Lepisosteus oculatus: one gene and its partners. The protein of the gene in region 1 interacts with the protein of each later gene in a pairwise test. Links are inferred from orthologs where the notes say so. Each region holds a gene or a part of one and is shown in the gene's direction. Other genes may lie near its edges.

Region 1 (6,964 bases):
AAGGGGTGCACAGCAATGTTCACCCTGGACAGGACGCCAGTCCATCACAGGGCGCGCACCCACACCCACACCCACACACACACACCCTGGACAGGACGCCAGTCCATCACAGGGCGCGCACCCACACCCACACCCACACCCACACACACACACCCTGGACAGGACGCCAGTCCATCACAGGGCGCGCACCCACACCCACACCCACACCCACACACACACACCCTGGACAGGACGCCAGTCCATCACAGGGCGCGCACCCACACCCACACCCACACCCACACCCACACCCACACACCCTGGACAGGACGCCAGTCCATCACAGGGCACACACAGACACACGCACTCGCACCAGGGCCACTTTTCCCAGAACCTAATTAACCTACTGGTATGTCTTTGGACTGTGGGAGGAATCTGCAGCACCTGGAGGAAACCCATGCAAAAATGGGGAGAACATGCAAACTCCACACGGATAGTTCTCCAGGTCTGGACTCGAACCCAGGGCCCCAGTGGTGCGAGACCGCAATGGCAGCTACTGAGGTGCCGCCCTCTTCAAACGTGTTTAGAATGTATTTCGCAGCCGCGCTGGTTTGTGAATCTGCGGTGGTTTTTCTTCCTGTGAAGGTGACGCCGTGGCTCCGGCCTGCCTGCCGGATGAGAGCGTCGACCTGGATGACAGCTGGTCCTGTGTGACGACGGGCTGGGGGTCCAGCAGCGCTGCCCGTGAGTCAAATCCCTGCTGCCCCTTTCGGGAAGCAGCCTGGGTCGGATCTGGCAACGCAATCGCTCTCCCACCTTTTGTTTGGTCTCCTCGGCGGGATCCGGGACGCGAGTGTGGAACGCCTGTTGCACTCGGGGACCCTGACTCCTGTGTGCAGCTTCTGTTACTGTGCTTTAGGAAACCCATCTTCAAGGCCACGCACGTTGGATTGAGGGCGAGAGGGCCAAAACCCTAGAAAAATCATGGCTGAAGTTCACTAAAGGCCCTTCTGCTTACTCTTCCCTTTAAAGTCAGATTTCAGGGCTCGTCCTAAATTCTTTATTCTTTTCAATATTTTTTTCCCCTTGAGGTTTCATTATAATGTAGTTTGAAAACTTTGTGCTAGTTTTTCTTTTTTTAAAAAATATTGCTGTGTGTTTAGTGAGATGGGGTTTTTTTCCCTTTAAAAACGTCTCTCAAAGTGTCTGTTTCCAATCCGTTTCCAGCAAATATTAACCCGGATGTGCTGCGCCAGGCCAGAATACAGCTGGTTAATGAAACGTCTTGTAGAAAGAGCTGGGGAGAAGACCTTATTCTTAAGACCCACATCTGTGCAGGGGCAGCTGGATCCAGATCTTGCATGGTATATTCTTCAATTTCCATTCGCTCTTGCAACAACACGGTAACATCTGTACAGATACAGTATTTCATACTTTACAGTGCTCGAGATGACGGACATTTTAATGTTATTTATCATGTTATTTAGATGGGCTATACTGTAGCAGATTGGTAATGGATTTAATTGTTGGGAACACACTCTGGTAATCTGCACTGTTGTGAAAGAGAGTCCATTCATGTCGTTTCTGTGCCTTCTGCTCAAATCCCGCTGTTGTTTCATTTAAAACAGCCATTTTACCATTGCATCCTAAATATACAGTTAACTAAGTGTCAAAAGTAACGTATTGCTGATAATTGCAACAAATTAAAAGAGTTATCTGTAAAATATCTCTTCTTGTTGGGGGCATGCTGCTATTTTGTTGACCAGACTTGCGTTGGTTAATGTCTGCTACAGCACAGGGCAGTCTTGTGTACATCAGGCCACAGTTGCTGTCTGGTGGGATCCTGCACTGCTCCTCTCGGAGCCGAGACAAGCACGTGCCTGTTCCAGGGCTCAGTGATCAGTAATGTCATGGGTCATTGTGTGTATTTCATTGGGCTGTCTGTTGTTCAGTGGCCTAACAGCATCTGTACTCATACAGAACATGCTCTACCATGCCATTGCCTTTTAGTCAATTTCCAAAATGCAGCATTGCACCACCATGGTTAAAATCAACAGGTCTTGGTTGGGCTGGAATACTTGCATTGGCATCATTACAGCATGAGATCTCTTTGAAACCTGACTAAATACCACACTCCTACTACATTTCTGCACCGGTTCTCAGACATGGGCAAGGTGCATCTTTTATTTCTCCTACCATCTAAACGTTTACAATTCAACTACACTTTAAGTAGCGTGTCCTAGAATTTTATTTGGTATGAATGAAACGTCTCCCGTATCGGTACTGTGTGGGGATTTACTCAGTCTTCCATAAGACATTCCTCTTATTTAAACCCGTCTCTCCCAGTTCAACGAGGTCTTCTGCTACATTCTGAACAGCGATGTAGGTATATGTACAGGTATTGTTTTTACAGAGTCTGATTTTTCTATACTCTATACTTGCTTAAATTAAAGTTGAATTACTTTGAGTAGGTCGGGGTTTCAGGTCCACTTTTTGCCCATTTCAGTGGGTTGAAAGGGAGTTGGAATGAACCCCGAGCCTGACTGTGAACCATCAGAGTCTCGAATAAACTGAAGAGAATTTGTGTCAAACGTCCTCCCTCCCTCCAGGGGATCTCCGGAGGGGCGCTGGTCTGCAGCAGAGAAGGTGTGTCTTCCCTGTGGGGCGTGCTCACCTGGGGCAGCAAGACCTGCACAGCGCACAGGCCGGCTGTCTTCACCAGGGTGTCAGCCTACAGGTCCTGGATAAAAGACGTCACGTGGGGAGAGGTGTAAATACTGAGCAGCACGTCTGAAATAAAGTCTTAACCAAGATGCTCGATTCACTGGCTATGAATTCTTGCTGTTGTTGTTGACTCGGATCATTCTTCACATGATTAGGAGGTAGTTTTCTGGTTGACAAATGATACGATCGATTGGTGATTGATATGATAATCCAGGGGTCAAGCCAAGCCAGGGGTCTCCGTCCCGGTCTTGAAGGACCACGCGGCTGCTTAGATGCATAACTGAACCCTTAATTGACTTGATATTATCAATTCAAAAGATTGTTCTTTTTAAACATGCTGGAGGCTGCCTTTTATTATTGCATTTCATACATAACATACTCAGACTATAAAACAAATCCTGCAAATATTTCAATCAAGCAACTTCTCAGTCCAGCTCAGTGACGAAGCTCAGTGGGAAGGAAGGCCGGCAACTGTGTGGCACTCCAGCCCTGGAAGTGGGAGCCCCTGGCCTGAGGCCCTTCGGCATCTCGCGCTCATCTCTCAGGAACCAATCAGCTGAGCTGGAGAACCAGTCTCCTGCCACAGGAGGTTTGCAAAGCCTGTTGGGATACAGCGCATTACTACATCCCTGTAGTGGTCTGGTGTTGGGTGGCTCTGAAGCTGGCATTGTTACATGCTGTAAATGCACGAAAGGCAAAGCCCAAGCCAGAGATCTAATGATCTTCTTCTGAGTATGAGTTTCATATCAATACAGTTTCATATCAATACACCATGAAACAAGTGACCTGTCCATGTTGTTGAAGCTGATACTGAAGAAACAACTGAAGGAGAACCCTGGATCACTTAACAACCGAATTCCACTAAATACCAAGAGAGCTAGACTGGTCGAATGGTATCCTTCTTCTTTATAGCTGTTCTTAATTCTGAAAGTGAGAGGACATATGGCATGGAAACAAGCTGGATTGTTGCTTTATTTAATATTTCACTGGAAAACCTGCAGGAACAACGCCCCCCACCGGCCAAAGATCGCCCGTGCTCCATCCTCCTGCAGTAATCGGTGCTGTATTGATACGAAACGGGCAGTGTTTTAGATTAAAAACGCAGGACTTCCAGGGCCTGGGAATCCGCCTCTTCCGCCAGCGTGCACACGTGGTTCCGCGCCGGACAGGAAGTCCCTTGTGCGTTTCCGCAATACGGAAGTGAGCGCAGCGCAGTCGTGCTCAACCGAGGAAGGGCTGGAGACGTTTATTTACTACAACTAAATGAGGCTGTGGAAGTAAACATTAACCAGGATTACACCCACGGCAACCCTTGGCGAAGCAGGCGTGAGTTTACAGATGTAGCAAAACGAAGAGATGCCGCTTATTTCGCGTCTTCCATACCAGATCATGTCAAACTCCGAGCGTTACTCCTAACATTCAGTAGACAAGTCTAGGATCCGAGAGCTGCATCATGCCCATTCTCCTCTTCTTCATTTCTTGAACGAGTGACAGTGCGAGTTTGAGCGATACGATGCGCATTGGGGAGGCTGGCAGCCCCGGTTCAAATACGCGTCACTTGTCAAATAACAGGAGGTCGGCTGAGCCTTTTGAAGATGCGGACTTAAAAAAAAATGAACTGTGGAACCGTCCAGAAGTGGTTCATACGGAATCGACACTTGCTCGTTTCGTCTTCGGAATGCCGAATCGGTCTCAAAAAAAAAAAAAAAGTGTGTGAGGTGTTTTAAAATTCGCTTCCTGAACAGTTAGGCTTGACACCAGTAAACAAATTGCACGCGTGTCGTTTTCCAGTCTTGCGATGCACTGGCTTTACCGACAGCCGGTGGCGCTTCTGAGCGTGCATGGTAGTATATGCGTTTTATCTGGTGCTGGGGAGGTACAGTACGTGGCTGTTTGAGTCGCCGTGTGACGTTGACTCCAGGCTGCAGGGGTGCTGTGCACTCGATGCCCGTGTTTCCAAGTAAATCTCTTCAGTGAAGACCGCGGCAGCTGCTCAGTGCACATGCGGCTTCGAACGAGGCCCCAGCTGTAGAAACCAGGAAGGACCTCCTGCACCCTTCTACTGCATCTTCCCCATTCATTGCTTCTTCTGCCCATCTGATGTCTGGGATTCGTGTTTCTGCTTCCTGTTCGTTGTGACTTGCCCTTATCCAGTTCTGTTTCGGCAGGTGTCTGCCCCGGTCTGTAGTCTTTGCGTCCTGGTGTGATGCTCGTACAGTTACGGCACTATTTACAGTTCTGCCTGGATTGGTGTCCTCTGCACATTAGAAGCGATTTGAGTGTGGTCATGATTTGCCAGAGCTCGTCTTATTTCTGCTGCTCTCACTCTCGCCGGGACCTCCCAGCAGCCGGATCTCCTCCTTGCTGTGTGCTGCTCCGAGTGTAGAACAACAACACCTCGATTCCCCTGACACGCTCCTGTCACTGATGTTTGATCGAGTAGGCTCAGGACTGCCCGTAGTGTCTGTTTTTTCCTCCTTTCTTGTCATTTTTCATTTAAATTTCTGTGATCCCTTTACATTCTATAACTTTAACACTGATTTAACGTTTTGTTTGATTAATGAATGAAAGATTTCATAGTTATTTCTCAATTTACCAGCTTTTAATTTGCGTGTCTTTTTGTTTATATCTACTTTGTCCATTTAGGACACTGCTGGTTCTTTGCTCGAAGGCTCAGCATGGAGCCGACTGCTTCCGGCATGTTCTGCGACAGGATGCTCAGCATGGTCAATTCTGAGGATGTGAACGCCATCATCCAGGCGCAGAGGCACATGTGAGTACGATGCGTGGCTCTCGTCTAACTGCACTGTAATTCTGAGAATAAAAAAAACGTTTTGTCAGATGACATGCAGATATATCTGTGTTGTATAACACAGGAATTATTTTTTTGAAGGAAACACATCTGTTACATACATAAATAAGAGAGAGAGAGTTTCTCGATTGTCCCCGAGGTGGCAATTTGTTTTACGGCAGCAGACAATATCAGGAAAACGCACAAACAAACAACACGCATCAACATGAGCTAGAGAATCCTCTGGGCAGGATTCTGGGCGCAGGTTTCAGTAATAATAGCTCCACTGGATGCTCCACTCAAAGCTCTTTACAGGTAATGGGGATCCCCTCCACCACCACCAGTGTGCAGCCCCACCTGGATGATGCGACAGCATCCATAGTGCACCAGTACACTCCCCACACACCAGCTCTCAGTGGGGAGGAGAGCAGAGTGCACCAGTACGCTCCCCACACACCAGCTCTCAGTGGGGAGGAGAGCAGAGTGCACCAGTACACTCCCCACACACCAGCTCTCAGTGGGGAGGAGAGCAGAGTGATGAAGCCAGTTACATTGAAAAAACAAATAATATATAGGAAAGATGTTGGCTTCATTCTAGATTTAATTTTTTTAGTTTTATATTGCTGTTTTTTGTTCTTTAAATCCTGGAAGGGATATCGGTGTGCCGTCTCGTCCAGCTTCCAAGCACTTTCTCTATGTGACGTGTTCCTGCAGGCTGGACCGGTTTGAAAAGACCAACGAGATGCTTCTGAATTTCAACGGCCTGTCCAGCGTGCGTCTCCAGCAGATGAGTGACCGCTTCCAGCACCACACGAGGACGCTGGTGGAGATGAAGAAGGATCTGGACAGCATTTTTCGCCGAATCAGGTGCTGGCTTGTCTCCGCCTCCCCCAAAAGACCGTCCCTGGGAGAGTTCCATACTCTCTCACGGACTAGCAGGACTTTGCTAGGATCCAGGCCAGTCGCCTGCGGGCTCCAGGCACACACAGCCCCGCTCCCTAGACAGGGGACAGCTCCCTAGACAGGGGACAGTCCAGGTCCTGTCCCACAGCCGAGCTCTACGCAGGGGTGATGTGTCAGAGCGGCTCGGGGCATGAGCCCTGTTGCGCTGCAGGTGTCCCTACAGACAGCAGGTGCAGGATCCATCTTTCTCCGCATCTGCACAACATCTGGGGGAGATGACCCGAGGCGTGAAGCAGAAACATTAGAGAGCAGCTCTGGGAACAACAGATCACTTGTTGATCAAGACAGGTATCAGACTTCAGGGCTGCAGTTCAGATGGGAGACAACCTTGGATGTTGGAGCGCAAACATGACCCAAAGAAAATACAGGTTGTGGGATGAGGTATTTTTTTAGATTGCTTAAGATTCTAACAGACTCAAAATCCGTCTCTTTTTTTCCACTAACAATTCAAACTTCTCTCATTTACAGCGCCTTGCTAAAGTATGTAGACCCTTCCTATGCTGTCCCATT
Region 2 (7,886 bases), on another chromosome or scaffold:
ACGCATTGCTCTTTGTGGACTGTCAACGTGTGTTCTTTTTCGAAGCATTAAAAAAAAAGTGAAACTACACAGCATTCTCACCAAGCAAGGAGCTTCAAAAAGTGCCGGACAAGCTGCTCATCCTCTACTTTTAAACTGCAGTTTGAAAATCAATAAAACAAAATCTATAAAAGTTAATAAAACCCATCCAGTGCTGACTAACATAGGCCATTGACTACTATAAAGTCTGCTTTCGGTTCATTTCCTGCACTCCAAAAGTGTTTGGGAGAAAGCCCTTCACTGCCTTGCAGGGAACAGACAGCCTCCCTTTCCACAGCCCAAACTCAGACACACTTCTCTGCCAGCCTGGGTGAAACCCAGCACCACTACATCTCAGTGCAAATCAATGATCTGAACCATGGACATCGGGGCTCGTTGATTGTTGCCACCTGTGCCCAGGTAGAATGCAGACAGCTGCCCCCAGACATTCAGTACCTTGTAGCAGAGGGTTGCCAGGTTTGAGGGAGACTCCTCGCGAACCGCTCGGATCTCCGCTGCTGGCACCAGGGCAAACACATCCTGCACTGAGGTAGCCGTGTCAGCCCAAAACTGGTCCCAGAAGGCGTCGTCGGTTGCCTCCACAGGCTGGAGTAAAAGATCCCCCCCAAAAAAGAAGAGAACATGAATTACACTTCCCAGAAAGAAAATGTGCTTTTACATAGAAAGTAAACCAAAAGAAAGAATTACCCCTTTTTACCAAGATGCTAACCAATGCAAGTGACAAAAGTATGACTGTATACACCATAAGGACACCCCCCCCCCGATGGGATGCCAGTCTACAGCAAAGCAGACAGAAAGACAAGAGCACAGACATACCCGCTCACACCTAGAGCCAATTATCCCAGAAGTCAGTTAAAGTACCAATACAAAAACATAAGCAATTTCTAAGGGAAAGAACCATCTCTGGATCTGAGAACTTGTGTAAAACACACAGGGGAAGAAGTACGCTGGAAAATGGAAAGGAGAAACGCAATCTGTATGACCTGAGGAAGTCTAAGTCCCTGCAGATGAAATGTCTGTTTCTCTTTTCTTAACCTTTAATTATTCCTTTGCAGCCAACGCATGGTGACGCCGATCTCCACTGAAACATACCATACAGATAATTGGTTGGCTTCACTCACCAGTAACGACACCACACGATGAGTTTTACACTAAGAAAAACTTTGATATAGATACCGATTTATGCATTTTTGATTCGGTAAGATACAAGTACGTACAAATATTTGTTCACGTAACAATCTTGAAAGGCACAGATTAACGAAATTAAATCATTTATTATTTTTGTGTGTCCACATCAGAATAGCGAACAACAACCTAAGATATTCGTCTCTAGAAACGGTGAATCGTGTCTAAAGCTTCTGAGTCCCCCCCGAGGTGAAAGCGTTGACAGTCAAATTGAGATTCAAATAAGAAAAAAAAATGTAGACTACTCAAATAATAAGCCTGAGTTGTATCACTCAGTTTGTACATACATTTGCATGAGACGATAGAAAAACAATCGAACAGCAAACTAACCTACTTGCCCGAATATTGTAGCCGCCATAACATCTATAAACAGTATGTCATTGCTTATTCTCTTATCTCACTCAGTCCACCTTAACCAAGCACCTGCCGCTCAGGTTTGCGAGATTAAAACACGTCATCAGTACAGTAGACCTCAGAAGCATACACGACTGTCTTTGAAATTACAGATTTAATTTAAACAAATATCAACACACTACCCTCTTTACTGGCTGACTTCAGTGCTGTTCTAATTTCCTATTTATCGTAAATCCACGAACCCCTGTCTCAGAGTCCACCTTGAAACACCTTCACCAGGTGTGCGCTCGCTTAACAGAAAAACCTCGGTATATGAAAATTAATAAATGTACGCGATCAATCGGTGATTTACTAGTAGAAACCCGCATGCGAAGTGGGAAAAAAAGACCAATCTCCCCATCGTTTATCGAAAATGATTTCCCAGGCCCATCAAGCTCTTAGGAATAGTCTACTACTAGCTACCTAGAAACAGTAACTAGCTACCTCTTTATTTACCGATGGGGGTGCGGGATTTTTTAATTCATTTTCACCCACACACAACGCATGCAAAATCCAGATTTTGTAGAGCGACAATTATAACAGATTGTATACAACGGTAAAATCTGTTATTTACATCTTTTTACAACCCATGTCAGACTGCATTTATAATAAGCGATACCTTTTACAATATGAAAGCAGAAAACGCACATAATTTAACAGAAAACGCCACAGTTTTTATTTCACGTTGTGTTTAACGCGCCCGATTACTGTGAAAACGCGTCATTTATTTATTTTCTTCAAAGAAATCCGTCTGCTGGGCTCGTCTGATCCATCCTTTCTCTGATGTTCGTGTACCATCTGGTCCCGTTTTCCTCAGTGCTTTCCATCAACCCAGCGTTTCAGGCTGCATATGTGAGCCGACAACGCTGCCTCCCTTTTTAAACGCATCGTTCCCCGTGTCCTTTACCTGCGTTTTAGTTGTGAGCTGTATTACGGCTTTCCTGAAGTTCAGCTTGGTGTCGGAGTTCCCCATTTTTTTTTTCCTCCCCTCGGGTGTCAAGACAAGCCTGCCTGTTTTGATCCCTAAATAATCTCTCTCTCTCTCTCTCACCACCCTCCCTCCTCCTCCTCCTCCGGCTCTCTCGCTGCCAAGGCGATGAATGAGGTGGGAGCAGGATCCAGGATGAGGGACTTCCGGGTTCCAGGCTTTCATGTGCACGCTCGGCGCTCGAGCAAGGCGCACAGCTCCTCCAGGCGTATCAACCTCCACTGCGGGACCCCAGGACGCCCCTTCAGATCCTACTCTCATTGCTGTGTCAACAAGTGCAAGTAAACATCAATTTATCTACCGCAATTCAAAATAAATACACATATGGGCATAGAATCCGGTGGTTGTGAAGTGTATAATCCTCGCTGGGTCAACCTGTCATGTTAGATTACTTTTATCAATAATCATATTATTACCCCCCACCTTACCGACTGTATCGATACATTTTAATGACACTAGACGCCCTTTGACATGTTTTTGGAATACAGCAAGCGGTTCCCGCCCCCATGTCCAGGAGAGCCTCTCTCCGGTTACTTTGATAAAATGCGCTAAGGCTGAGTGCGATTTTTTTTTTAACGCATTGCGATGGAATTGACCCACTTAATCCACTGACTACTGTAGGCGTTTAAATTATGCAACAGTAACTTCAATAGTATAAATGATATACGTGCAAAATTACTGCTCAATCGCCCGCGACTAAAATCTCTCATCCTTCATATCACAAAAATAATTCCTTACACTGATATATAACGCTTTTTCTGGACACTTCAGTCAAAGCGCGTTATATGTAATGGGGCCTCCCCTCCACCACCCCCACCAATGTGGAGACCCCACCTGGATGATGCCTTATCATTAATGACATCATTAAGTCAACAAGCTCGTGACTCTTGTATTCCATATCTTGGGCACCCAGTTTACCACGTGCCAGGGCACTACCTGTAGCTGAAGCATTCTTTTACCTTCGCATGGGGCGCAAACAAACAATTCTAAAATCTGGGTGTATAGTTTTCTCTCAGCACTATAATGATACAATTTCTCTTTCTGTTCTTCTGAAGCTAAAAGAAGATTTTGAGCCTGTGAGCCTGGTCAGTACCTGGGTGGGAGACCTCCTGGGAAAAACTAAGGTTGCTGCTGGAAGAGGTGTTAGTGGGGCCAGCAGGGGGCGCTCGCTCTGCGGTCTGCGTGGGTCCTAATGCCCCAGTACAATGGCGAGTCCCCATTACCTGTAAAGCACTTTGAGTGGAGTGTCCAGAAAAGCGTTATATAAGCAATTATTATTATTAAAAAAGAAATGTTACACTTTGAGTAAACAGTAAAATTAAACATTAGATACTTTTCAGATTATTAATCATAACACTGAGTTATTATATGCCATGGAAGTGTAAAACACAGGACTATGTAGGTAATACCCAAGTTTTCCCAAAATTCAGTTTAATTCGATTACCAGATAGATTCATATTTAAACCGTTTATTCTTACATATTATTTGTGCCAACAGTATCTGTATACCTATACATAAAAGTTGATGTCCGTTTAAAAAACGCTGTAGTTCCGTGAGCAACCTATGGGCGCTTGTTAAAATTAAATACTTCCTGGGCACTCAAACTTTGAGAGAGTCATCGAGACAGATGCTTCTGTAGTGTAAGACACTGCATAATTAGAATTTACCAGGAATAGCCTTACCAAAGGTTTATAATCGCCCTTTAAAAAAGAGCACAATAACATTTTTTTCCCCATTTATCACAATCGATATTATCAGGCTATTCGGTAATTGGACAGCTGTGATTGTTGTACTCTAGTTCCTAACAAAATAAAGGATTATCTTAAAAAATTAAGCGCTGTACTTTTAAGTTCTCGTATTAATGGCCATCCTACAGCGACACGATGTGAGGGGAACAAGAATTGCATTAGGTTTATTTTGTGGTAAACCCCAACACGATAAAATCACCTTGAAAAATTAGAATTTATATTATATAAGACGACAACTGTACACGGAATAATGTATTTGTGTTTAAACAGAAAAAAAACAACCAAATAGTATGTCCATAATCATTAATTCAAAGTGATTTAAATGACTTCAGTTCAAAATATTAATAAAGTGAGACTCTTTTTTATTGCAGCATTCACTAATCCCCTAACAAAAATGTTTCGCACGCAACAATTTTAGAAATAACAAAAAATTCTTTTCAAATGCAATTCTTGCCACAACCAAAATGAAGGAAACACCGGACCGTACGGAGAGGTTCTGTACTGCCTTGCTGCCAACCGGAAACGGAAGAAGGTCGAAAGAGAAAAACAGGAAGCAAAACCTGTTAGTATGAGTAGGGGTTCAAGTGCATTTAATTGTTAGAATCAAAAATATAAACACTAATACTTTACTTTAATAAGGACATTAACCAGTCATTTAGCAGGATGATTCCAACGGAGGACGCATCCTCTAGGAAGAGAGAAATAGAAGAGAAACTCAAACAGGTTTGTAGAGGATCAACGGCACTTTTAGAGTATTTTCATCTGTTCACAGTCATCTTGAAGGACTGTGATTCATTTTCCTTTTTGGATATAAAAAAAAAACATTCTTTGCCGACATTAGTTTACGCATCTGTGTGCATTCCAAGTTGTATTAATTGCAAAAGTTCATTGTTGTTAATGGTAGTACAGTATGTGGAGATTTCTACTGTCAAAGCATAGTGATCTCTAACGCTTGAGCTCGGAGGCGGCCACACCCCTGTACAATGGGGGCTTTTTAGATGGTTTCAGTCAGTGGTTAAAGATCATGTTCATTTTGACTGTTAGTTGGCCTAATTAAGCAATTGAGAGACAATGGTTGCAGTTCAAACAAGAATACCCATTGGTTCCTAACGGCCAGGGCTGGAGCCCTCTAGGTACAGAATATAAGGTGTGATTAACATGCTTTCCAGCACCTCTGTTATATTTTTACCCTTCGACAGGAGCAGGACACGTTGTCATTCATCCGTGAAAACCTGGAGAAAAGTGATCAGCTGACGAAAGGAATGGTAAGAAAACCGTTTAGATCAGTGATGTTCTCTCCTGGTTGTGTAGGACTGCAGGGCACCAAGTTTTAACTTGTAATCCTGAAATAGTAAAAATGTAGAAACAGTGGCTATACAGATGGACGTAAAGCCAAACAACAATGAGGCTCTCCAGTGCCTTATATGTTTGTTTTTAACTTAGACTTATGTGGTTATCCCAAGGTTATACAGTCTGATTTTCTGGGTTGGTGTGGAATTGCCTTTTGGTAACAAAGCAGCACTGAAATAATTTGTTGGATTATAGTATACTGGGGGTGTCCATAGTATTCATGGTCCTGTGGTCCACTGGATCTTTCAGGTTTCATAGTTCTTTTGATTTGTCTCTGAATAAGAGTGGGTAGGATAAAAAAAATGAATGCAACTGCTTTTGCAGCTTCGACTCTGGTTAAAGACCTCAACCCTCTCCCTACGCTGCCTCGCTGTTCTGCAGGTTTCCATCTTGTCCTCCTTTGAGAGCCGCCTCATGCAGCTGGAGAACTCCATCATACCAGTGCACAAGCAGACAGAGAATCTGCAGCGGCTGCAGGACAACGTGGAGAAGACTCTCTCCTGCCTGGACCACGTCATCAGCTACTACCACGTGGCCAAGGACACAGACAAGATCATCAAAGAGGGGTGAGGCGTGGTGTCCAGCATGAGGAGGGGCTGGGAGTGTTCTGGGTGAACCAAACCCACCGTTCCAAGATAATAATAATAATAATTGCTTACACTTATATAGCGCTTTTCTGGACACTCCACTCAAAGCGCTTTACAGGTAATGGGGACTCCCCTCCACCACCACCAATGTGCAGCCCCACCTGGATGATGCGACGGCAGCCATAGTGCGCCAGAACGCTCACCACACATCAGCTATCAGTGGGGAGGAGAGTAGAGTAATGAAGCCAATTCATAGATGAGTAATTCTTTCGTTTGAATGGAAGGAAGAAGCCTTTAACTTCATTAAAAAGCGGTAGTCCACTACCTGGGTAGTTATTTGCAATTTGCAAGAAATCACCAGATAATGCGATTTAATTTAATCTAGGTCTTAGTCTGCTTGCAAAAACATTAATAAATCTGAATACTGAAAGAGTGTGAAAATAGTGTTGGTTTCACTTAAATCGATGCAAAACAGGTGCACGTTTTGAGACTGCCAGTTTATTATACTCAGTTAAGTGTGTGTTTCAGCCCTACAGGCCGACTGGATGAGTACCTTGCTTGTATTGCGAAAATCCAGAAAGCAGTGGAATATTTTCAGGACAATAACCCTGATAGCCCAGAGCTCAACACAGTTGTAAGTCCTGCCCCTTTTTTGAATCTAAACACTGTTTTTATGTGTTTAATATTACAATTTGTTCATGTCTCTTTTGAATCTGAGTGATTTCTGTACTGTACTGAAAAAGACAAGATGTGTATTTTAATGCAACACCTATTTTGTCCGTTGCTCATCTTTGCCAGCTCTGTTACATGAGGTCATGATTTTAAGAATGTGAGGATGAAGCTTTTCAATGGCAGTACCTCCTAAGCTCAACTGTCCTGATAGACTGATGCACATTCTTAAAAGGACCTTTGTTAAAGAAGGAGTTTGGTTTTACCCTGTCATCTTCCCTTCCCCAGAAAGCGAGATTTGAGAAGGGGAAGGAGCTGTTGGAGGCTGAGTTCCGGAGTTTGTTGACCCGCTACAGCAAACCTGTGCCGCCCATCTTGATCTTGGATCTGATTGGAACCGATGAGGACCTGGATGTGCAGGAAGAGGTCACACTGGAGCACCTGCCTGAGGCCACACTGCAGGATATCATCTGCATCTCTGGCTGGCTGGTAGAATACGGCCGCAACCAGGGTACCCCACGATTGTCCTGGAACTCTTTCACTGCATGCAGCTTCAGTATTGAGTTTGCACTGTATGGAGGGAATGTGTGGTGAGGGGTTGTAGTCATTAAGGTTGCAATTCTGTTAACTCATTTATTTTTATCTTAAAAAGCAAATGATAAGAAAAGCCTTTTCCCTCAAAAAAAAATCTTGCATACGTTGTAATTAAAATGTATATTCCTTATGGCCTAGGACTTTAAACTTTTTTTTAAATGATGCCCTTTAAACTCTTTAAAAGGCATCATCAGTCCAGCATGTTTTCAATTCATTGGCTTTTTAAGGCCCATGAAGAATTTTTATTGGTCTAGTTGTGCCTTGTTTAGAGCGCAGTGAAGTTGGCACCCCTACGAATAGGACATACAGTTAAACCCACAGCCGTTGTTTGTG
Region 3 (6,901 bases), on another chromosome or scaffold:
ACTGATCACGGGCGTGTCTTGCAGGCTGAAGTGGAGGAAACCTTGAAGAGGATTCAAAGTCAGAAGGGTGTCCAGGGGATCATCATCGTTAATGCAGAAGGTACGTGCGCCCACCTGCACAGGTATCATAGTGGTCAGCATTGCTGTGGCGGAGTCCTGGGCTTGGTTCCAGACCTGGGGTGCTGTCTGTGTGGAGTTTGTATGTTCTCCCCAGGTTTGCGTGGGTTTCCTCTGGGCGAGTCCACATGCTCGTATGTTCACTAGCTTCTGGGAAAACTGGCCCTGGCTTGAGTGTGTCTGCCCTACGATGGACTGGAGTCCTGTCCAGGGTGTACCCTGCCTCGTGGCCACTGCTGGGATAGGCTTCAGCTCCCCACACTTCGGAAAGCACTTAGAAAAGGGTCTGTTTTCTTGACTTGCTCAAGTGGGAATCGCCAGTTGTTTTTAGGGCCGTGAGCCCTGGAGAGGGTGGAGGCTGGCAGACAGGCCCCCCTGGAGAGCCGTTCAGCATCACATCTCTCGCACCCGTGTCCCTGCAGGCTGAGGCAGAGCCCGAGAACGCTAGGGCTTCAGGGGAGGCTTTTACTATTCTTAAACGCGGGCCACAAAACGTGCCCAGTGGGTTTCTGACCAAGTTTGATATCCTACGTGTTCACAGGGGTTTTTCCCCCAGTATACTCCCACAGTCCAAAAACATCCTGGCAGGTTAATTGGCTTCTGGAAAAACTGGCCCTGGTGCGAGTGTGGGCACCCTGTGATGGACTGACGTCCCACCCAGGGTGTACCCTGCCTTGCACCCCTTGCTTGCTGCGATAGGCTCCAGCTCCCCTGCAGCCCTGAACTGGACAAAGAGCTTAGAAGATGGGTGGACTTGAAAGGCGTGCGCCATGCATCCCCCACCTCACTCCCTCTTGCCCCTGCTGGTAGGGATCCCCATCAAGTCCACGCTGGACAACTCCACCACCGTGCAGTACTCGGGGCTCATCCACCAGCTGGTGATGAAAGCGCGGAGCACCGTGCGGGACATCGACCCCCAGAATGACCTCACCTTCCTCCGGCTCCGCTCCAAGAAAAACGAAATCATGGTCGCCCCAGGTAACCAGATCAAAAGCATTTAAAAACAAACATTTATTAGTCCAATCGCTGTTTGCATCTGTTTTGCTAGATTGATTTTAAGAGCTGGGTGACGTGTGCAGCAGTATGTGGAGTTATATACAGTGTATGCCTTCGCTGAGATTTATAAAACTGGGCTCATCGGCCCCCCCTACAAGCACCCTGTAATTGTGTGGGGTTTAGTGGCCAGTTGGATCACGATACAGGAAGGGAATAACAGAAAAAATAAATCTTCACTGCATTATGTTAGTAGCTGTTTTTTGTGTTTCTATGCTCCACGCACGCTGATGTGTAAAATTCCTCGCCCAGCGTCCTGCTCACTGACCACTGTGGGGGTGCGAGCAGGAGCAGCAGACAGGTATTAGCGTAGCTCAGCCTGAGGGCTCTCTCACCCAGAGTGCAGATCGAGCCCCTTGTCCGAGCCGGATAGAGAGGGCGTTATTCAGGCAGGAGAGCCCTGTGACCTCCAAGGTGATTCTCACAGAGGTTTCAGCTCTGGCAGGTAGGCAGGTCCTCACTCTCTGTGCAAACAGAAAAGCAGCAAAATGAGCAGAAACAGACTGGACATTAGAAATAGTTAAAACGAAACCCAACTTTTTTTTAAATGTTTTTTTTAACGTTTCATGTTTAATGTTTACAATTTCTTGCATTTGGAATGTGTCTTTTCACATACCCCAGCTTTTTCTCCATGGAAACACAGACAGGGAGAGAAGCTTGGGGTCAGAGCGCAGGGTCTGCCATTGTACGGCGCCCCTGGAGCAGTTAGGGTTAAGGGCCTTGCTCAGGGGCCCAACGGAGTAGGATTCCTCTGCCGGCCGCGGGATTTGAACCGGCAACCTTCCAGTCACAGGCGCAGATCCTTAGCCACAGAGCCACCACTCCGCCCTTATGTCATGCAGGGGGTCATTGGGAGTGCTTTAAGGCAATAATATTTTAAGCTTGTTTTGCAATGTTCAGTAAAATGATAATCTTTGTTTTTTCCTTTTGACAGATAAAGAATACTTCCTCATTGTCGTCCAGAATCCTACAGAATAAGAAGACCTATTCCTTTTATTAAGTTATTTTTTTTATTTACAAGGCCAAATGGTGTATGTCGAAAACTGTGCCAGTGTCGGATAAATTGTTCTAGGTTTATCTTGGAGAAAAAAGCATAAATTAGTTTCATCACAAGTATTCATTTTGTGCAAAGAGTGTAATTCAGTGCAATAAGAAGTAAACCTTTACTGCAGCTCCATTCCTCTGGTTCCCAAGCTATACATCATAACTATACAATGAAAGAGAATGTATTCTCCATGCACATGCAGCAGAAAGCACAGGCTAGGAACTGCTGCTGGTTTAAAGAGTTGGAAACAAAATCACTGAAGTGCAGGGGTGAAGACTGACCAGGTCCAGTGTGATCCTGTGTTTAATTCCGGACTGCTTCCATGAAGGCCTGCAGCATTAATGATTAAGCATCCTGCACTGTCCTGCTCAAAAACTGGTCACTATATTTTCAAAGACGTTATCAATGTAGAACTTGTTCTTATTTACATTTAAACAATCTTTTAGTTTAATAAAACTTGAGGGGTTGGAAAGCTGTGGTTTTCCCCAAAGGGAGCTGGCTTGCAGAGGGTGTTTGAATTTGATTTGTATTTGTTTCCATTCATTTCCTGCACCTGTGAGCTTAAAAGGCATCTGCAGCTCAACACGGTTTTTACTGTGGCTTTTGGGAAGAGTAGATTCCACTACGTGTACAGTGCTTTTCCTCCGATGTAAGGCCGTTTAAAATCTCTTGATTTCTTCAGCTGACTAAAGACAGCCACCCACTGGATGAGTGCAGAAAAGACTCATCTTGGCTCTTGCCCCTACTGTGTTTTGGACCATGAAGCACCCTTTTCCTTTACAGAACTTGTTCCATACTATATATTTAAGAAAGTCATGTGTCAATTTAAAAGCATCTAATAAACTTCTCATGGTGGCAATATGTGCAAAGAGTCTGTATGTTTGCTTGGGTTTCCTCCCACAGCCCAGAAACCTGCTGCTAGTGTGAGTGTTTTTCTGCGTGCCCTGTAATGGCCTGGTATGTACATGCACTCTCTGCACTGAATTAGACTGATCAGCACAGCCCTCTGGATTACACAACACTTAATGCATGTCAAGCAGAAATAATGATTCAGTTTTCACAGCCAGGATTGTATCAGGAACACCCAGTGAGGGATCCTACAGTACCCCCCCCCCACCAGCTTTCCTTTGCCTACATGTCCAGTAGAAGTGTACATTTTAATTGCAACACAAAACTACTAAAAACAAATAAAAGCCTCCTTAATGCATAAAAGTAACGACCTCAGTTTTTTGTTTTGAATATCTAAAAGGTAATTTACCAGGAGGCCATTCAGCTCATACAGCTTCTTTGCTAGTTAGTAGTTAATGGATCCTGGGATTTTATCGAGGTGTTTATTGAAAGAGGTCACGTGGTCAAGGCCTATACCCTGGATGAATCAATCAGTTAGTCCAACACTCCCACCTACCCCGTCTCTAAAGGTCAAGTTTAAACGTGTCACACTTCAATAAACTGGGTGTAAAAACCAAACATGGGCAGTGTTATCAGTAAGGGGCATCATTGCGGGTCTTATTGTTGCCTTTTAAATTTCTGTCTCCAACCCCATTAAATGATTAAGTACTACGAGAGCACCTAAAATGGATGAAAGGGATTCATGAAACACGTCGAGCCGATTCTGTCGGCTAAACACTCCTCCACCCTCTCCACAACACGGCTCCTTCCCCTTTAAGAGTCTCCGGCTGACGTCATACTGCTCGGCTCGCTACACTGTCACAAAAGCGAGCTGGGCAGACAGAGATCCGAGCCCCAGGTTGTCCAGTCATCTGTGCTTGAGACGGGCGTTAAACCGGACTGATCCCTCACAATAATGCCTTCCGACAGACCTTTCAAACAAAGGAGGACGTTTGGTAAGTCATAAACAGTTTATTTGCAAATTAGGACAATGTATTCCCCACCACCACTATCATTGATTACCAGATGTCGTGTCGCTCAGTCTTTTGTTTACCAAACAAAAAAAACAACAATCTAGAAACCTCGTCATAAAGACGGCCTGTCGGGCACTTCTGTTGTGCCCGACCTGGGTGGGTTGTTTTTCTGCCGTGTACGTGAAGCGGGCGTGAGCGTGTTGAAAGGTGTTTTTTTTCTCGCGTCCGTGTAGTTTATTAAAAACGCGGAGCGATCCGGAAGGCCGTGCGTTCACATCGCCGCTCTTGAATCCGTTAGTTGAATACCGGCAGGACCGAACAAGTTGGCATCCGTACCAAACCTCAGTTATGGGCTCTGGTGTTCAGGGACGGAGGATTTTAAAGTCCCATTATTACACCAGCTTGCTGGGTGCACTGCAGGACCTCGCTCTGTGCGAGACCACTTCGGATAACGCGGCCAACAGCACCAGGTTTTGATGTCAGGTTCTTCACGAAAGAATTGGATGATGTAGTATCGCTGCCACAGGGTGGTCCGAGGTCACAGTGTGCTTGGCGTCACGGGCACCCGGTTTCGGGAGTGGGGTCGGCACCCCACGGTGGGGAAGATGGGGAGGTACAGTGAAGTTACATATAATACACTGTTTAATATGGGTCCGCGTATGAGATACAGATCGGATACATGGTGGCAAAAGAACAGCAAATTGCATAAAATGGAATCATTCTCTATATCGGAATGTATTACGTATATGACATACCATACATCAGATTAACCCAAAGAACGTTTTCATCATTCTTGTTAGGACGTTAAAAGCGATTCAGTTTTACGGACTTGATTTCATAAATCAGGATTTTCTAATAAGCGGATATTGACCTGCAATCCCGGCTATGTCGCATCTTAAGAGTATTCAACAGGTGTCTTTAACAGTTCGACAACCTGTGCCGCCTTCAGCGTGCACGCCTTACCGCGAGTATCCCCCCGCCTTTTCACTTCAAAATGAATCAAGGCAGGCTTGTGTGAGAATGCGCACCTCCAAAAACAGCGCCGTACCGCGCAGCCACGCAGGTTAACGCGGGATGTTACCCGTCTCGGAGAGATCGTCAATGTGCTTCCAGACGAAAAGCTGCTCGTCTGCAGAAATCTCCCAACAGGAAGGTCTCAAGGCGACCCGACGGCCCCGCGTGTTTCCGGCGCGATGGGGGCGGAGCTCCGGGGCGGGCGGGCTCCGTCTTCAGGCAGGACCACACCCCCTCACCTCCGCGAAGCTTGGACTTTTACTACAGTAAACATCTTTGGGACGGTGCGTGCTGGATTCCGAATGCCAGCTGACCCCAGGTCAAGAATGTTAAAGGGTGATCCTCATTACGGATGTCTTGCAAAGAACCCGTGCATATGAAGAGGATGCAGGGCTTGACAGAAAAAATTGCAGTATGGGTAAGGGCAAAATAAGAGCAATAGGCTTAGGAAATCCTCCAAATAGAAAAACGGGTCAATATTTTTTTTTCTTATGACGGTATAATCCAACAGTGCTGAGGGATAATTAAGCATTCTATTTCATTTAGCACACAACTTCGGTTAAATTTACAGGTTTTCATTTAGAAGCTGTGGGGGGAAACCATCCTCTACCTTAAGGCGTCCTGTCGATTAGGGACTTGTAGCTGACAGCCGGTATCGGAGCAACACGGAACTAATTGGTAAAGGAGAGAAAAGCCCCTCCCTCCTTACTTTAAATAGACTCGTACAGGCTCCGCCTCAGGTGGGTGTGAACAATGAAGGGCTTGCCGATCCTGGCACGCGAAGACGACACCTGCTGCTCTTTAGCCCAGCTGTTCTTGGTTGAAGCAACACCTTTCCCGGCTGGAATGCGTGGTATTTCTTCTCCACTCGGAAGGGTGGTGTCTTATTCCACTCATGAAATGCAGTGGGCAGAAAGCACCCTCCAGCATGGTGTTTAAGAGCCGAAGAACAATCCAGAGGTTCAAGTGAACCGTGTTGATACCATCGGTGAAGGGCTCAGTTCTGGGACCATGGGCTCGACTGGAACAGAACTCCAGGACCAGGATGTAATTTGCGCCCCTGGTGGGCGTGACCCTAGCAGACATCCCAACTTGGAAATTGGGATTTCGGGGGTCGACCCCTAGTTACCCCTGTTTGCCCTCTCGGGGGGCTTTGTGCTTGTAGCTCCTCTTCGCTGTCATTATGCACAGTGAAGTCCCGTGGTCAGACTGTACTATAATGTGATCCACAGATGAAGGGGAGGTCACTGCTTGGGAGTGTTGTAATAAAGAATGGGGAGTTTTGCCGGTTATCCTGTTCCTGGTGGAAAACTGCAGTTCAGTCAGTGTGACTGGACTCTCCGCTCCGACCCCTTGCTGATCTTTAAGGATGACTGCCTGTTCTAACCTAATAGGTTTCGTTGGAGCTCTTTAATTATATTTAGTTAGAGGTTGTCTTTCAGCTTTTTCTTAAGTCATTTGTTCTCCACCTACTGAGTAGAAGAAAAGCTTTCAAAGGTTCTAACCAAGCAAGTTGTTGGTTCCTCGTTAAGGACTAATTAAACAGAGAGCTCAGCTGCAATAGCAGGTTCCTTTGTCTCGGAGTGGGAACTCTGGCCTAGACCAGTCCTGGTGCTGTTTATGTAGCAGAAAATTGATTTTTCTCATTTGCCCACTGCTTATTTTTGTGCTGTCAGTGTTAGTGTTCGCGGTCAAAGGTCAGCCACGTCTGTGTACAGCTGTGTACTCTGATCAGGAGGATCTGTGGGCATGTAGAGACTGCCTGGCTGAACTCGTTTCGGTAGCTAACACAGGTCAGCTGACTGTTACT
Region 4 (8,005 bases), on another chromosome or scaffold:
CAAACGCTTGGATTCTTTGACACACTAGAAACACTTCATGGGGAAAACCCCTGGATGAAATGAAGTGAAATAACAGGTACTGTACATAAGAATTTGAAAGCCTTACTTAGCGATCCTCAACAGAGGAAACAAGTCCACCGTGCATTTCAGGCAGTTCTATTCTTATGAATCCCCACTGGACGCTACCTTTGCGAATCTATCTGGTTAGCGGGCGATGAAGGAAGTGTTAAATTGGAAAACACTGTGTGAGAGTTCAGGAGCTCAAACCTTCCCACAGCAGGATTTATCAGGCTGCAGTCTGCAATCCTGCTTTTACCAGCCAAGGGGAAATGTAATAATACCAGACTGAGGCAGGTCAAGGTTGCTGGGGAGAGGGGGTGCCGTGTTGAGGGGGATGGGAAAGACGCTCAGCAAATGAACTAGAACTTTCTATTACAATACGCACCGTGACTGTATTTCCTCTTCTGCTTGATAAGCCCGGTGTGTCGAATCTCATTCAGATCAGAATGATGTAATCTTATCTCTGGCTTGATATGAAAAGACACATGGTCACCATACGTGAACGCCTTTTGTGGAGTTCTGGAAAAGTTTTTCCGTTTTGAACAGGAAAAGTAAATGCTGACTCTTGCACTGGTAATAAGAATTACAATACATTAAGGAAAAATTGTTTGTTGCCAAATTACAACTATGGAGTGTTGGATATGCATCTGTAACTATGCCAGTATTGGGTTTGATTGCATCATACAATTCTAATAAATATGAATAAATCATGATGATCCTGAAAATAATTATCCTAATCCATAAGTAGCACTAGAAGTGCCACTGGAAGAACGTGATGAACGTCTGTAGAAGCACCACTACAGTACATTACTGAACTATTTACTGGACCATAATGTATTCTCTATTCCAAACCCCAAAATAGTAGATGAAGTAGAAATAAATGATGGTCCAATAGAGCTGGAGCCTAAAACAAACTACTGCACATATAACTACAACAGGTTAATAACTGGACTGTGAGCTATTTGTGCTGAGAAGGAGAAAAGGCAAATCTGAGATAGTCTTTTGGACTCCAGTGATGTCTAAAAGAAAGTGTTTTATGTGCTTTGGTACATATGTTTAAAATTTAGACCATGTACTTTCGTCAGACAGAAAGACCCTTGACAGAAGAAGATAATGCTTCATTGTTTTGAAATAAACTTGGATGTTGTTCAGTCTTCTTTTATTCATTAGCCGAAATTCTATATATGTCAGACAGTTTTTCTGACCATGTTTCCGTCATTTCTCCTGGAAAGGCTGTAAAAGACACAAGGCTGCGTTAATGATGGGAAATACTAATTTTCTTTTAGGGTTTTTTCCATAAAAATCACGGATATCATGACATGAACTTCCCTGTGGAAAGAATACTATAGCCCACGCTGTATCATTTTTTTAGATCAGAAAAGGCATAAAAGACTTGGTTGTAGACTATATTCTCATCACAACATTTCCTATTTTAATAATTTCAACTTTACCACTGTATAAATGCATACTGTAGCATTGTGTAAGCAGATACTTATACCATGTACTCAAATCGCTTTGCTTCATTTTCCCTCTGTTGGCTCCAGGATTTGCCCCCAAAAAACCCTGAGATCTTATTAAGAAAAAAAAAAACAATTCTCCTTAAATTAATTCAGTCATTTTACTGAGTTCAAGAGCATGATTGCAATTATTATTATTCCACCTATACACAACATTTTTTATTTAGAAGTTTTAAAACTGAAAAATGAAAACGGATTAAGATAAGCTATTTGCAATATAACTCCTGTTATTATTTTAGAATGACATAAAGCAACAGAATTCAGCTCACTGCCCTTAGTAACTGGTTTATCAGCTCTTCTTGACGAGTAAGAAAGAACGGGAACATCAGATTGATGGAGGTGCAGCATGTTGTCACAAGATAAAAGGAAGCTGGGGGGATTTAAAATGCACTGCAGACCAAAGTGCATTCATCAGCAGCTCTTTAACAAATTTTGTAGCAGTAAAGGTCACTGTAATTGTTGAAGAACATTATTTTATTCCATTCATATTTCACTGAAATATTCAAGTGACGTGAACTTGCACAAGCTTTCCACTCAATCAAACTGAAACCAGAACTACAAAATACTAAAGGTCATACTTGTTAGACCACAATGTTATACCTGACACAACACATGCTGTTCTTGTACCATATTGTAACTCTATGTCAATGTGTTCCACGCTTCAAGAGGAACTTGTATTTACTGCTGGTGGCACTGTGGTTTGCATTGCTCCCTTGGAGTGCTGGATCCCAGGGTTTAATTCCTGGGCTTCTATCTTTGTTGAGCTTGTATGTTCTCTCTGTGTTTGTGTGGGTTTTCACCAGAAGCTCTGGGTTCCTCCCACAGTCCAAGTACATGCTAGTAAGTTAATTTACTTCTGAGAAAATTGGCCCAGGAATCAACATGCATGCTATTCTTTCACTGCTTTGTCATGCGTATTACTGTTGTAGCCTTAATAACTGTTCTGTTTAAAAAACGGGCATCAATTCTACTTTTTTCAAATATTTTTCAATGATATTTCTTCAGGACCATAATCTTCATCTTCCTTTTAGAATTTCCATTTCTCTGAAAAGGGGGAAATTGCTATTATGAAATTGTGGACTTATAACTAATGAGACTATTCTACCAGAAACACTGGGGTAACTGCCAAGACCTGCAAAGTACAGAAGTATATTTGAAATCCCGTAAATAAATCAGGAAAAACATCTTTCTTATATGCAGTGTGGGGACCCTCAAGACCATTTTAAAATGAATTCCATTGGATTGGTTTCCTGACTGAATTAATAGTGCTAGTTGATACCTGTAAGTTTAAATCATATCAGTAATTCTACCTTCTTCTTTGGACTATAGTGCTTGAGGAAATTTATGAGTTTTCTCTTCCCGTACTAAAAAGATTGGAGCACTGGGAATTTCCAGTAAGGCAGGTTGGCTCCTTCGAAGGTGGGGTTTCCTTAGAAAGCATACCACCCTAGTAACAGAACAGTAATGTGAGCTCTGTCTGTTGAGTCCCCGAAAGGGATATCCCCTATTGTGTCAACCATGATATACACACAATCCCACTCCTGCTGTATGCTGTCATTAGGTTTTTGGTCTATTATGCCTAAACAGACACTCAGTAACACTATAACTCTTTATTTATAATGCTTTGCTGTCTTACGTATCTGCCTGTAATCCAATCCATGTACAAATCCACTGATCTCTATATACACACTGTTCGCAATATGTACAGTATATCTAGGTTACTTAGAAAGTGCAGTGACATTCATATTCATATGATTTTAATCTAAGAACTATGTGTTGTAAATCTAAATCTGTACAAATCTCTTGAAATTATCTGTACAATGTGCAGAATAAATGTTCATACAAATTGATACTACAGATGTAAAGGTACAGAGACTGGAAATATTTAGAAACAAAAAGTTAGCAAAGAGCCTTCGCCTCTGATAAACTATTTCGCATGGCAATATATATCCCTGTCGAGTCAATATGTACAACATGCACCAAACAGGTGTGTGATTAAAAATATAACACGTTTTATATTTAAAAATTAATTTGTATAATCTTTGATACTATAGTTATTATCATTTATCTCAAAGAATTGCATTACATGCGCTTGTTTTTCATTTCACTGTCTAATATATATATGAAAGTTTCCAGTCCACTTACTGATTAGGAAATGTGCCTTAAAACTTAACAACTAATCTACACTAATGACATAAATTGAAATATTATTGTACAGAAAGCAAAAAAGATTTTTGTACTGCAACAGATAGGGCCAGTTAATCAGGAAAATTAATTCACTAAAGGTAGATATGTAAAAATTCGCATAAAAATCCACAAATAAGAGTCGCTACTAGCAAATAGAATTCTGCATGTTCTTACGATTAAGGGCATGTTATTCTGAATGAAGCAACAGCGCCATCTGTTGGTTTTTCTGGTGGTAGCTTTCAGTTCTAACCAGAGCGTAAAAGGCTCAACTTTTGTGCACAGATGGAGGTAAGATGAGCCTACTCTGTTGAACTTTACATCAGCAAAGCAAAGGATAGAAATAAAAAAAATGTTGTTTATTTCATTGTTGCAAAGTTGCAAAGTATGTTGCAAAGTTTAATACTTTGCAAAGACAATACCTACAATACTTTTCAAGTCTTTACTGTGATTTTGTAATATATTTCTTATATATACAGAATGCATACAGTATGCATTGCAAAGTGTTACAAATACCATGCTTAATTTTTTTAATAGATTTATTATTTTTCTGGTCACATTTCGCCAGAAAAATCCTCATGCTCACCTATAAGGCTTTACATGGCTTGGCACCTCAATACCTGTCTGAACTTTTATCACCCTACTCCCCACCTCGCAACCTCCGCTCTTCAAATTCTGCCCTCCTTACTGTCCCCCAAGCCCGTCTACATTGTATGGGCGACAGGGCCTTCTCCTGTTCTGCCCCCAAGCTCTGGAACTCTCTGCCCAAGGATATCAGAGAGTCACCTTCTCTAAACTCCTTCAAATCCAGACTCAAAACCTTCTTCTTCAGAAAAGCCTTTACTTAACTGGTTCCATTCTTCACCCCTCTGCTCTTCTTAATACCACCTTCCACGGTCTCCTCTATTGTTATTGTTGTATTGTTGTAATTATAATTGTGTCCTATCTTGTGAAATCTTCTTATTTATTGTTGTAGTCTTCTTATTTATTGTTATTCCTGTAAAGCGCTTTGAGAAGCCACCTTTATATAAATGCGCCATATAAAATAAAGTTTATTATTATTATTATTATTATTATTATTATTATTATTATTATTATTATTATTATTATTATTTACATATTCCACAGAACAAAAACTACAGCACCCATGATCCTAAGGGAACTGTGGGTTTCGGCTTACTGGGACCTCAGTAACTACAAATCCCAGGATCCATGTGACCACTCCGGACTCGCTAAACAAATTCACGGTCGTTGTACTGCGGCAGCCTAGCTCGTCTGAATGCTGCGGGAGTAGGGAGAAAGCAGTGTGATCAGCGTTTGGGAGATAAATGGAGGTTTATTTCGCGACATTTGCAGTACTCTTATAAAAATCATGCAGATGGCGAAGGATCAAGAAGTTGAGCGTATTGCCAAAAAGCTAGACAAGATGGTCAATAAAAAAAACACGGTAAGGACAATTTAATAGCATCCTCTTAACATAGGTGATAGCTGTTCAGATGTTTCACCTTTGTTTCGGTAGAAAATTCTGACGAAATCCAATCGAGGAGACGGCCAAGCGCTTTATTGCGTGCAGTTTCCTATATATATAGCAAGATAAGTCTAAATAAATAGGAAGGGCTTTTTCGTGTTCAGCAAGAAAAATCCGTCTTGTTTGATTGTGCTGTATTTCACAATTGTAACGCTGGTAATACAAAGTATCCGCTGGTTTCATGTTCCCAGATATCTCAGGCCGAGATTGCACCCACCTGGGAAAAGGAGACAAGCTCCAGTCTCATACGGTTCGGATGCATATGTAGGCTGTGCCGTTTTGCAGTAATGAAATAATAACGATACGAAGAATAGCCGTTTTGTCAATTTGTAAGCACACTCATACTGTTCGCAGACGCCATCGCATCACATGCAGTGCCTGTAATCCTTATGGATCCCCAAAATATCAGTACCGAAATATGCAAATCTGTTCTGCGATGCTGGGATTTACCACACCTCTTGGGTAACGTGAAGTTTTGTGTAGGCTAGCAATCGTGCCGTCCGTGTATTAAAGGCTAAAAGTGGGCTGCATCAGAGATCTGCATGTTTATGTGCTGATGAGCTGGCAGCTGGTATTGGTCCAGATTTTTCTGTAGTGTCAGTCTTTAACAAATGGGAAGCAGGCTTTTTCTATAAAAACAATGGACCGGATCGCTATGACCCGGGCGGCTACAGTTATTTAACACAAATGGCGATATATATATACTGTGACTAGTGTGACACAGAACGACCCATCCGTATGAAGTGTCATTTCTGTAGCAAAACAGGTTTAACACATTGTAGGTATAAATGAAATAGAACGTTTAATGACGGAATGACTTAAGTGCTAAATGTATTTCAGTAGGGTTTATACTGTCTATGCAAGAAATGTATGTTATCAATGCAAGAAAACGTTAATGATATAATCATGAATTCCATTTCAGTCACGCACTGTTTAAGAGTCCCGCGTGAATTTGCCTAGGAAGAAATGAAAGCGAAAGTCTCGGTTTTGATTCTACCGGCGGTGCCTTGCATTTATTGTATGTATCTGAATTCTTCTGAAGTTCACGGAGTTTGCAAATTATTTACTTCACTTTTAATCTTTTTAGGATGGAGCTGTGGACCTGCTGAAAGAACTAAAAAATATAAAAATGTCATTAGAGACGTTGCAGGTGAGTTAGAGCAATCATAACATTAGAAATGACAGAAATCAAAATTGTAACTTTCAAAACACGAGGAGGTACCAATGAAAGAAGGCCATCATGCTCACTTGGTTGCTATTAATATATTGAGTTTAAGGTTTCATCCACCTTGCTGTAACTGTACTGTATAGCAGGGCAGTGTGCTCTGGACCAATTACTGTATGTTGCTCTCACATGAGTATTTATAGTATTGCTTTTAAAAAGGCTTATTAAGAATTACTTTATAAAGTGCATGCAATGTGCAATTAATCCACCCTAGGCAGTTTGTAAAACGTCTTGTTGGCCTTTTATCTAGATAGGCATCAGTTTTTGAGTATTTCCAGATTATATTTTTATTTTGCACTGGACACACAATCCCTGGTTTTGAACTGGATAGGGATTGTGTGCCTGAAATCTCCACCAGATGAGTTGTGTGGGATGACCAGTACCAGGAATGTGCCACAATGCTGGGCTGAGCCTATAAATGTCAGCATTGGCCTCGGATTACAATCACACTTTTTTTTATCAAGCAGTGATTTGCTCGGATCCTCTGTCCGTCCCTAGGGAGAAGGTGTGTGTGGCAACGATCCACACCCAGCTGGGCTCCAGAGTGCCCGTAGCACCCAGGTTATCTCAGAGTTCCCTGCTGGCCAAGTTGCCAAGATCAGCCACTCTAGTGCAGCCAACACTACAATGGGCTTCCACTTAGGGAATTATTCCTGCAGCTGAGTAGTGGTACAGGCCAGAATGAGTGTCTGGGAGACTCTAGGGCACAACCTGAACCCCAAATGAATGACTTTACTGATTGATTCAGGTTGTGAATCCCATTTTTATCTTGACTGAATGTTTAGCTTTTACATTACTTTGGGATTTCTTTTAGGATTTTTTTTTTATTATTCGAGACAGAAAGGAGACAGATACAAAGTGTTTTCTGCATGTTTGAATGTTATGTTCTGTATTTTACAGTCTACAAGGATTGGGATGTCTGTTAATGCGGTGAGAAAGCAGAGCAATGATGAAGAAGTCCAGACTTTAGCCAAATCTCTCATTAAATCGTGGAAAAAGCTGCTCGGTAATGAATTTTCTGTTTCAGATTTACATAACGTAGTGCTTCTCAACCATTTCCATTCCGCCGTTCAATTTTATGCAGTAAATTAAAAAAATTTGCGGCACACCGCCTGGGCGCACACACGTAATAGGCCCAAGCACATTATTAAAATATTATAAACAAATCTCAGGAATGTATGATGGGGGAAGCACTGAGATGTTCTCTGTTTTTATTTTGCTATGTCAAGCTTAAAAAATTGAATTTGTGCCACACGCCATTCCCTTATGGATGATCTTTAAGTGTGGCCTCTATCTTCTTTGTATACACTGAACATGTAACATGAGACTTTGGTTACTCCACAACATTAATACAGTATATATATATAAAAATATTTAGTTTTTTTTATTTTCTCATATGTGATTTGTTCAGAGTTTTAAAGGTGCACCCTGTTAATGTCTGAAGGCACATTAGTTGAGAAATGCTAATGTGAAGGTTTGCTTTGCTTGTTT

What was found.
Region 2: the proteins of kxd1 (region 1) and exoc7 interact in binary tests that used the Homo sapiens proteins (3 or more experiments, as listed by UniProt). The two-hybrid records come from large-scale screens. The link is inferred for Lepisosteus oculatus from reciprocal best matches to the Homo sapiens genes KXD1 and EXOC7.
Region 3: the proteins of kxd1 (region 1) and map1lc3a interact in binary tests that used the Homo sapiens proteins (3 or more experiments, as listed by UniProt). The two-hybrid records come from large-scale screens. The link is inferred for Lepisosteus oculatus from reciprocal best matches to the Homo sapiens genes KXD1 and MAP1LC3A.
Region 4: the proteins of kxd1 (region 1) and tcea2 interact in binary tests that used the Homo sapiens proteins (3 or more experiments, as listed by UniProt). The two-hybrid records come from large-scale screens. The link is inferred for Lepisosteus oculatus from reciprocal best matches to the Homo sapiens genes KXD1 and TCEA2.

What each region holds. Positions count from the first base shown.
Region 1 is NC_090702.1:56,034,257-56,041,220, reverse strand, and holds the start of kxd1 (kxDL motif-containing protein 1), read left to right. Parts: upstream 1-3,942; 5' UTR 3,943-4,026; intron 4,027-5,346; 5' UTR 5,347-5,378; coding exon 5,379-5,473; intron 5,474-6,205; coding exon 6,206-6,358; intron 6,359-6,964. Other genes in the region: ovch1 (ovochymase-1), read left to right, coding at 622-720, 1,204-1,340, 2,586-2,750.
Region 2 is NC_090704.1:43,129,474-43,137,359, reverse strand, and holds the start of exoc7 (exocyst complex component 7), read left to right. Parts: upstream 1-4,874; 5' UTR 4,875-5,016; coding exon 5,017-5,076; intron 5,077-5,552; coding exon 5,553-5,618; intron 5,619-6,084; coding exon 6,085-6,269; intron 6,270-6,818; coding exon 6,819-6,924; intron 6,925-7,247; coding exon 7,248-7,470; intron 7,471-7,886. Other genes in the region: protein HID1b, read right to left, coding at 475-624, 2,525-2,590. UniProt on the Homo sapiens protein: Component of the exocyst complex involved in the docking of exocytic vesicles with fusion sites on the plasma membrane.
Region 3 is NC_090711.1:2,773,784-2,780,684, forward strand, and holds the start of map1lc3a (microtubule-associated proteins 1A/1B light chain 3A), read left to right. Parts: upstream 1-3,901; 5' UTR 3,902-4,019; coding exon 4,020-4,059; intron 4,060-5,399; exon of another isoform or gene 5,400-5,505; coding exon of another isoform or gene 5,506-5,509; intron 5,510-6,901. Other genes in the region: dynlrb1 (dynein light chain roadblock-type 1), read left to right, coding at 25-100, 928-1,095, 2,105-2,148. UniProt on the Homo sapiens protein: Ubiquitin-like modifier involved in formation of autophagosomal vacuoles (autophagosomes). While LC3s are involved in elongation of the phagophore membrane, the GABARAP/GATE-16 subfamily is essential for a later stage in autophagosome maturation.
Region 4 is NC_090711.1:4,608,658-4,616,662, forward strand, and holds the start of tcea2 (transcription elongation factor A protein 2), read left to right. Parts: upstream 1-4,990; 5' UTR 4,991-5,133; coding exon 5,134-5,208; intron 5,209-6,376; coding exon 6,377-6,439; intron 6,440-7,414; coding exon 7,415-7,520; intron 7,521-8,005. UniProt on the Homo sapiens protein: Necessary for efficient RNA polymerase II transcription elongation past template-encoded arresting sites.